Linked DNA regions of Arabidopsis thaliana. The protein of the gene in region 2 interacts with the protein of the main gene of each other region in a pairwise test. Each region holds a gene or a part of one and is shown on either strand. Other genes may lie near its edges.

Region 1 (3,828 bases), on a different chromosome or scaffold from region 2:
TATCTACCGTATAAAAAATATGGAGTCTATAGTATGAATTAAATTTAGATTTTTTTTTTTATCAACCATATATTAATTAAAAAATAACTCCATGATAAAATTTAAAAATTTAAAAATTTTATTTATCATAAGATTTTTCACAATTTGTCACATACTTTATATTAAAGATTTATGTTATATATAAAAAAAGGATACGGATTTACATTTAATACACTCAACAAAACCAGCACCAATTCTACATGACTGAGAACATTTTTGTAGAAAGCGATAAGTAAACCATGACATCGCTTCATAATAATTGGTAGATAGGAGCACCACAGTTTTATTTTATTTGTCACAACAAAACAACAATTGCATATGCAAAAAAAAAAAAAAAGAAGAAGAGAGGTGTTGGTGCATGGTGATTACTATTTAAAATATAATTTTTTATATTTTAAAGTACTATATATATAAATATTTTTTGATCTCTAATCACAAAAGATGATATCAATAATATGATACAATCATTCATTTATAATTAGTCAAGATCATGACTTTTCTTGAATTTCCAAGACTGTTCTGACAATTCTATTTGTGAATAAGTTTTTTTTTTGTTTTTTTACTTCGAAGTAAAGACTTGTTTCACTTGTCGCATAATCATAATAAAATTCCATACGATTTGTTTTTCATAAATAATTTATAGACATAGAAACACATTTATATACTGCTTCCTACCGTTGAGACAATCTCAGAGAGAGGAACCAAAACAACGAAAGGTCCAAACCTTGATAAACATTAACATACTTATCTTCTTCTTAACTAAAATATTTACCCACAAATTAATAAAACAAAACCCTAGTTTTTTTGGGTTTGCGCTTCAGTTGATCTGAACAGTCCACGTCATTCAGACTAAAAAAGGTAAGCCGACGGTCACGATGTATCCACGTCATCATCACCACACAAAAATTTCCCCAAAAAAGAAGAGATTTTTAATCGAAAGAGTGATGATGATGGTCGAAGAAATGATCCACATCCCATGGAGAAGACTCGAAATCATCAATCAAACCAAACTCGAAATCTTCAGTTTCGTTTTCTCCTTGTTTCGAAACCTCTGTGTTTGGTAACAACGTTGATTGGATTTTGGTTTCTTCATCGAGAAACAAAAGGTCAGGGGCAATTTCGGTATCCCAAAAACATTCGCCGGCGAGAGATAAATCCGGTAACAGATACGGATCCGGGAACACCAAACCCGCCGACGATTCTTCTTCTTCTTTTATAACCGTCGACTTTCTCTCCGGAGATAGCTCGATCGCTTCAATCTCATGCTCTGTTTCCTCGTTGACGTTGAATCTTAGAACAGAGGTCGGTGAATGAAGGCTCTGCCGAGAATCTCTACCGTAATCGCAGGCGGAAACCGTTTGGAGATCGATAACCGGCGTTGGCGTCGGCGGAGTTAGGAAATTCGTGAGCGCTTTAGGTCCTTTGAGATGAATCGCGGCTCTATCGTACGCTATAGCAGCTTCCTCCGCCGTGACAAAAGTCCCAAGCCAAATCCGAGTACGGCTCGACGGATCTCTAATCTCCGCCGCGAATTTTCCCCAAGGTCTCTGTCTCACGCCTCTGTACTTTTTAGGCTTCACCGACGTCGACACGTCATCTTCAACCACTACGCTTTCCTCCTCCTTGTGCTTACCTTTCCTCGCCGCGGTGGAGGAAGAAGATTCACCTTGGCAGAATCTAATCTCCTTCACGTATCGTTTCACTCTTGGAACCACCGTGACGTTGTTGTTGTCGTCGTCGTCGCTAGACGAGTCAGTAGCGAAAGGATCAGTAACAGTGATACGGACCAGTCTCGGAGACCCGTTAGATGGTGTAGCTGCTACGTTTGTGACCGTACGATTCTCTGTGAACTTCACTCGTCTCGTTCGTCTCTCCATAGAGAGAGAGAGAGAGAGGGAGTTAAAAAATGAAGAGAGGTTTTTTTCACTGTTTTGAATTTGCAGAGAGAGAGAGAAGAAGAGTCAAAAGGTTAAAGAAGAATCGCCGTTTCTCAGGAACATCCTTCTTAAATACTATTAACTCATCACTATTTTTGGAGATTTTTGTTTAGTAACGTGATTTTTTCTATGTAATTAATTTAATTAGATTTTAACTGTTACAGAGAAATTGATGCGTGTTCAACACTATTCATATGATATGAGACACTGACCCAATCAAAACTCATTCAACCTTATAACTAAACGTATCTTAAAATATAGTTGGTGAAATGACATACGTTTATCAAAGCTTAACCTATTGAAATTTAATCCGGTTAATGGAGTTTATAAACCGGGAATTAGATTTGGATTTAATGTAAAGAGGGACGATGCTTAAGGGCGGTTTCGTGGCGGCCAATGGGGGATCCAGAAACGGCTTTCCGCATCTCAGATTGAGACGTTAGATTTATGACACGTGGTAGTTACCGTACCGAAAGTAGAGCCAATTGTCCTAATCTATAGCTTGGTCTCCAAGCAACTTTTAACTCTTTTACGCGCGGTCTGTTTTACGTTTGCTACACGCGCCGGCTAGTGGGCTCCACGCGTGTGAGATTGGTCACGAGTATGTGTCAATTCGCATTGACCCAATATGGAAATTGTGAAGTTTAATGGTAATGAATCTAACGATGTGTTTGAAAGAGTAATAAAATCTCGTCTTTAATATTAAAATATATTTTTAATTTCGGAAAAAATTTATGATCTTTTGCTTGGAGACCAAGTCTCTTATCAGAAACTTTATTAGAAAAAGCTACTATTAAAAAGGTAACTAGAAATTAGATTTCCATAGTTAATGGTTGAGCTTTGACTAGATTTGGTCCTAAAATAATAATTGAAAAATAAGCTTTTATTATATCGATAATTCTACAAGTTAATATACCAAATCTTGTAACTTACAGTAATTCTATATTGTTTTATTTTGAACCTTATATAACTTACACGAATTCACCTGTGATTTTATAAAAAGATACATGTGATTTCAAGACTTTTTTTTTACGTGGGATTAGTCAGGTACTCGTGTTAAAAGTTAGACCTTAAAAATAACAGTCAGTTTGATTTAATAATAGTTAGTAGTATGTATATGGAACATTAAGTCGGAGAGGGGTTAAACTCTAGTGTATCGGGTTGCTTGGCATGGAACAGATATCGCGGAACCGGTAAGTCGGAGTGGTTAGCTTTCTGGGAGAGTTGTGGTGGGTTGGTGCGACGGCGGAGATAGGTGCAGATGGAAACCGGAATCTTCCAGCTGCGTTTCTCGATCCGTCGTCTGCGGCCGCAAAGCTGTGATGCTTGAGTCCGCCAGATATAAGGCTCCGACCACTCTGCTTCCGACCAGCAGCAAGGTTCGAACCTCTTTGTTTGTCGGTGACTTTTTCTGTTTAACCTATTTTGTAACTGGATTTCATCTGTGTATTGGGTCTTAGCCCATGCCCTATTGGGTTGTTTTTAATATATTAAAAAAAAAAAAATTGTATATGGAACATTAAATTGCATGACATTCGTTAGGATAGTCGTAGTAGGTACTACTTTTACTAGGTAGAGACTAGAGAGTGGTCTCTCTTAAATTGTCTAATATGGTTTTGTATACTTTTTGATCCAAACATACATACATAAAAAAAGAAGATGTTAGCAAACCTTAGTAAATAATTCCATCATCTCCTCCGTCAGGAACCCGTCATTTTCATATACCTCACTTTGCATTCATTTGTCGGCATTGCCACACGTAACTCCCGACACGTTGATACTACTATCAATATACTATTGACTTAGAAATTGATCTAGATACTATATTACTATTACTAATACATACTTGAAA
Region 2 (5,624 bases):
GATTACATGGCCCCACTGTGTCCACCGGTGCCACAAGTTGCTTATTTCATGAAGAACCCTAAAGATGCCAAAGGTGTTCTTGTGAGGATTGGCTTGGACCCACGAGATGTTAATGGCTTTTCAAATCATTTCCTTGATTGCTAATATATTAGCTGGTGATAATTAATTAATTAGTAGAATCTTTGTGGTAGTATACAGTATGATAATGGCTCCTCTATATGCATGCGTGTGCGCTAAAGACACTTTATTGTAATTGGGTTATGATGATGTATAATTTAATGACATCTCTCTGCTTTGTATTTGTTGTCGTTATCACTTTTATACTCATTTCGTGATAGGCTTTATTTTCTTCCAGAATTTCTGGATAAATAATTATAAAGTTATGTTTCTTTGTAGACTTTTTTCTTAAGGTCGCCAATGTTGGGTGGTTGACACCTAAGCCAGGTTATTGGGCATATGGGGCCGATTTAGGCTGGTAGTACAAATCATTGTACTACTTTGATTCTAACGTTATTTTGCACTTAGACACGAAGACTTTGACTTCCTCTTCAAAACACCTTTACATTTGTAGCAAAGAGGGTACTTTTTGAATTTTATTTATGGATTTGGATCTTCCTAAGTTGCTCAAACCAGTGGGGGAGCGGTAAACAATAGCTTACACTTTCATTACAGAGAAGAGAGAAGAGACAGAACCAAAAGATAATAATAATTGATTGTGTCTGAATAAAACAGGTTTCTCAAGCTGACAAAGAAAAGGGAAAATGGAGTTTCTCGTATGCATGTTCCGAGTGAGCTAAACCATCCAAATCCCAATCACCTTCCGAGAAATCAGATTGGCTCTGTTCCTGTTACAGTCAAAGTAACAAATCTTCAGAAATCTCCAAAAGAATAAGGTGCAAAAAGTAAATGGTTTTTATTGTATACAATACCTGTGTCATTAAGGAATTGACTATATCATCTAAGGAACCAGCATCAGAAGCCATCAAACCACTCTGAAGCTTCTGTTGTCCCATGAGTAAACCTTCGTTTGGATTGCTACTTCTAAACAGTTGAGCTTCTGTCACTGGACCTGAGTTGTTTGCAGGCTGCTGATTCATCTGTAATGGATAAAAGAAGTCTGTTTGTGCAGCATTTGTGGATCCAAAACCCGTGTTTCTGCAGAGAGATGCCGGATTTGTATCCAGGTTTGGGTTTACTAGCGGACTAGCTGAGTCGCAGAACGCATTCCATTCCAAGGTGTCAGGTTTTGAATGAACATCACTCTGTGGAATGTTGGTTGACAATGCAGCGTTTGACCAATGTTCTAGACGCTTGCTGATCTCGAAATGAGGAGAAAAACCCGGGTTTGAGGGTAAAGATGATGACTGCGGGTTACCCTCGAGAAGTAACAGATTACTGGGAGCTACCATTGGAGAGTTTTGTTGTGAAGTAAAGCTTGGAAAAGCCCTGTTGATGTTGTTGTTGATCTGAAGCTCTTCTAGCGGCAAACCCTGAAGTATGTTTCCTCCATCATTATGGTTACGAGGAAACGATGATGAGACTGGTTGGAACATTCCTGCTCCAAGGGAATTCAGACGACCAAGATTCCTATTTGAAGAGTAATGCCTCATCATTGTGGTTCCACCATGGAACTGACCGGATCCAACAGGTATTCCGCGGTGGTGGTGGTAGAAGCCACCAAGTCCTTTCTGAGAATTCATTTGCATAAAATGTGAGTCAATAGCCGCCCTGTTAGCTTGTTGAATGGCGTCATCAGACACCTTCTTCAGAGCAACGCGGAATTTCTGCAACCAAAAGACATTACAAATGTGTTTAATGGAATCATACATATATCAACACTAACAGATCAAATCTGAAGAATCATAGTCTAACTCTCACCTGAAGGTGGCTTGCAACATTCTCTCTAGTGAGTTTGTCAACATTCATCAGATCTAGAATCTTTTTTGGAACAGCTCCTGCATCATCAATACTTATAAATCAGAACATGATTCACAGCTAAATGAAAACTAGAGGTAGAGAGATCAAGAAACATTACTCTCAACGCCTAAATGATCAACAGCTGCTAGGAATTTATTGTGCAGCTCATGCGTCCAAAGAACACGAGGCTTCTTCTGCGCCGTTGGATCATCATTATCATTCCCTCTTTCTTCCTCTTCCTCCTCTTCATACTGTTCTTTACGTTTTCTGTTTGCTTTATCACAGTTTCCTGAACCATTACTCACATTGCTCTTATTCTTCTTAAGTTTGCTCTTTCTCACAACATGTTGCCATATGTTCTTAAGCTCCTCAATTCGAACCGGTTTAAGCAGATAATCACAGGCACCGTGCTTGACTCCTTTCATCACATACTTTGGATCGCTATGCGCAGATAACACTGCAAGAATTCAATCATCATGTTAAAGATTCAAACAGTCAAATCTGTCTAACGATCAAAACTTTCTCTAGGAACTATGAACTAGAACAAGGAGAGCTGCATACTTATGACAGGTAAGTCCATTTCAAGACCAACAAGCTCAAGCAGCTTGAAACCATCCATGTCTGGCATGTCGACATCGCTAATAACAAGATCAAACTTATTCTTGTTCTCCCTCAACAACTCCAATGCGGTCTGTGCCTGATTCGTTGTTGTAACTGCACATTACAATAATAATAATCACCCACAAAGTTTCAGTTTTGACTCATTCAAAAGTAGTAAAGCAAGAACCAATGGCTCTGTGACACATGGGGAGCAATCAAATATGTAATAATTCCCCAAAGTCTCAATTTTTACAGAACAAGAGACTGTTTCAAATCGAACGAACAAGAACCAATGACCTTTGAAACACAAGTGAAGCAACAAAATCTGAAGCATGGATTTTTAAAAGTAAAAAAATATGCAGAGAGTGAATCTAGCTAATATAGTCTTAATTGATTCTTCAAGCTCGTCTTCAAAAATATAAAAATCTAGAGAGGAATCGATTTATGGTGTTATGACAAGAAACGAATCTGATGTTAAATTTTGTAGCTTAACCAAATCCAAAATCTAGAAAACATCAAGAAATTTGGTATTAAAAAAAAACAAAGAGAGAGAGAGAGAAGGAACCAAACCGTGATATTGGCAGCGCTGAAGCAAAGTCTGGAGAATACGGAGACAAGTCTGGTCATCGTCAACAGCAAGAACTCTCATCCCAACCGGAAACTGGTCCAAGACTTCAATTTCTTGCTCCATAGTCATCGCCGTCAAAGATTATGAATTGAAGTAGAAGAACAAACAAAGTTCGGATTATTATTATTAGTAGAGAAAGAGACAAAAAGTTGTATGGCAGAGTAAAATTTTCTTCTTTGGCAAAAGAGAATCTAAGACTACATATGGTTTCTGAAAACTCTGTAATGATCTTCAAGACTGGCGAATTAACTCATTTATGGAATTCTCTTTTCAAATTTTAATCATTTCTGGTAAATTTTCTTTTTGACATAAGAAAAAAACAAAAAACATTTTCAGAGGAGAATCTCTGAGAAAATTCAGTGGAACCGATCGGTCATTTGAGCGTGATAATCACGCGCCACCTTTTTTAAATTAGTTTGGTTTCTTTTGACTGTGGGAATAATATTTTTTAGTTTAGTGATAATTAATTGAAAAGGAAAGAGGATCATAATATTTTTTTTTTTAAATGGATAAAAATGTGAAAGTGTTTATGTAAATGATTCTGCAGATCATGTAATTAATTTAGAGATATGTTTGTGATATTGTACCAAGTATTCAAGGCAGGAAAGAAGAATTTGAGTTATTACCATAACTTCAAAAAGAATTGAATACTTTCCTTAATCTGTGTCTTAAGGAATGGACAACTAAGTTGAGTATCTCATAAAACGGATTTACCATAAGAATTAGTGCAAATTATGGTATTATGATTTTAAAATATGTAAAAGAAAGAAAAAAAAAGACAGGCTTTAGTGAGAGCATGCATGGTGAAAGTTGGGAAGTGCGAGACACGCGTGACCGTGGTTCATGGCTTTTTCGCTTATCTCGTACAGGTTCTGAAAGATTTAGCAAAATTAAGTATCCCATAGTAACGACCAATAATGGCTAATGCCGATATTATTCAAACCTAAGACAAGACTATTTTTAACGTCAGAGAAAGACTTTTAAAATTGATGAAAAAAAAAAAAAAAAAAGACTTTTAAAATTTACACCATTACTTGGATAATTTTACACTCTTACCATATGAAATTAATTTTAGGAATATGTATAATCAAGAAACACATGTTACAATGGTTCACAATGTTTATAAAACTTTCAAGTCAACAAATTAAACTCATAGCACGATATTTATCACCGACCAAATGTATCGTACGCTCGAATTAAACTTTGAAGTCAACAAAGAAAACTGCTGTCACAAGTCTATTGTTACATGATATTAGTCATTGAATTTAGTTGTTAACTACAAATTATATATTATTTATTTATTTGATTGTCCGTTTAAATTTAGCAAAATACATTTATATAACTATGACAAGACAAAAAAAAGCCATAAAACAAAAGGCAAGAATTTCTTGAAGTTGGGTTCCATCCGCATCTTCAGCCTACAAGCTTGGTGGGTGCAAAATAAGATCCCAATGATTTTATTATAGTTTATGAATTAATTTTGTATGATTTCTTGGATTAACCACACAGCGTGTTCATTTCCGTGCCTCTCCTTTTCTTATAGAAAATAGCGTACTTCGGATCAATAATATGTTTTGGCTAGCTTATTAACATAAAAAAATAAAACATTATTACAATTATGCATCGTTTTTATTAATGTAAAATAGGTTATCAGTTAGTTTTGTTTTCCAAATTAGAATCATAAGGTTTAATAAAAGTATCACCAGCATAAGATTTACTAAAAAAAATGCAAGATCTAGAAAGAGATCCTAAATGACTTTTTGAATCTAGCCTAAGAACCTTCTACAAATCTACGATAATTTATTTAGTATATGAAGAAAATTAGAGAAAAGTTGTATTCTCATTGTCTTGTGACAAAGCCTTGATAAACCTAGAATAAAAGAATACAGAACTAGATTTTACGATTTTAAAAGAACATCAACATATGTTCGATGCAATGCATTGGAAAATAAAGGACAACTTTCTAATACAAATCATTATCATTAGCTCTTCCAATTTTATTTTATTTTGTGTGTGTGTATGTTAAATAGTTGCAGATGACATTAGAGAGATTAAAGAAATCAGTTTTCTAGAAGATCCATGTAAACATCAAATCTGTAAAGATTCTACTTCTTAATAAGTTATTGGAAGTCACTTGTCATTAGCTAATACCTACTGTCATTGGCTTATGGTCTCATATAGGATACACACATGTATATTAGTATATAGTATATATCTATTCACATTTAAATATGAGAAATTAACAGCAACACTTTGGTGTAATGTTTAATTTTAAGAAAAATAATTAAAGAGAAAGATGCTGATAAAAATAATAATAAAAAGAAAGAAAATAAGTAATAATAAAATGGAGGAGGAAAATCAAGATTAGCCAAAAATTGAGGTAATCTTGTCTCCCACAAGGGCTAACCACACCGGTCATAAAATATGCTTCTTGTTCGGTTGCTTCCTAATCACTTCCTACTCTATTACTCTTACTAGA

What was found.
Region 1: the proteins of RR10 (region 2) and CRF6 interact in a protein complementation assay, tested with the Arabidopsis thaliana proteins (one study listed by BioGRID).

Annotation. Positions count from the first base shown.
Region 1 is NC_003074.8:22,803,362-22,807,189, reverse strand, and holds CRF6 (cytokinin response factor 6), read right to left. Parts: upstream 2,011-3,828; 5' UTR 1,917-2,010; coding exon 969-1,916; 3' UTR 663-968; downstream 1-662.
Region 2 is NC_003075.7:15,443,553-15,449,176, forward strand, and holds RR10 (response regulator 10), read right to left. Parts: upstream 3,491-5,624; 5' UTR 3,215-3,490; coding exon 3,088-3,214; intron 2,632-3,087; coding exon 2,479-2,631; intron 2,375-2,478; coding exon 2,036-2,374; intron 1,956-2,035; coding exon 1,879-1,955; intron 1,785-1,878; coding exon 930-1,784; intron 846-929; coding exon 738-845; 3' UTR 501-737; downstream 1-500. Other genes in the region: BAT1 (HXXXD-type acyl-transferase family protein), read left to right, coding at 1-144. UniProt on the Arabidopsis thaliana protein: Transcriptional activator that binds specifically to the DNA sequence 5'-[AG]GATT-3'. Functions as a response regulator involved in His-to-Asp phosphorelay signal transduction system.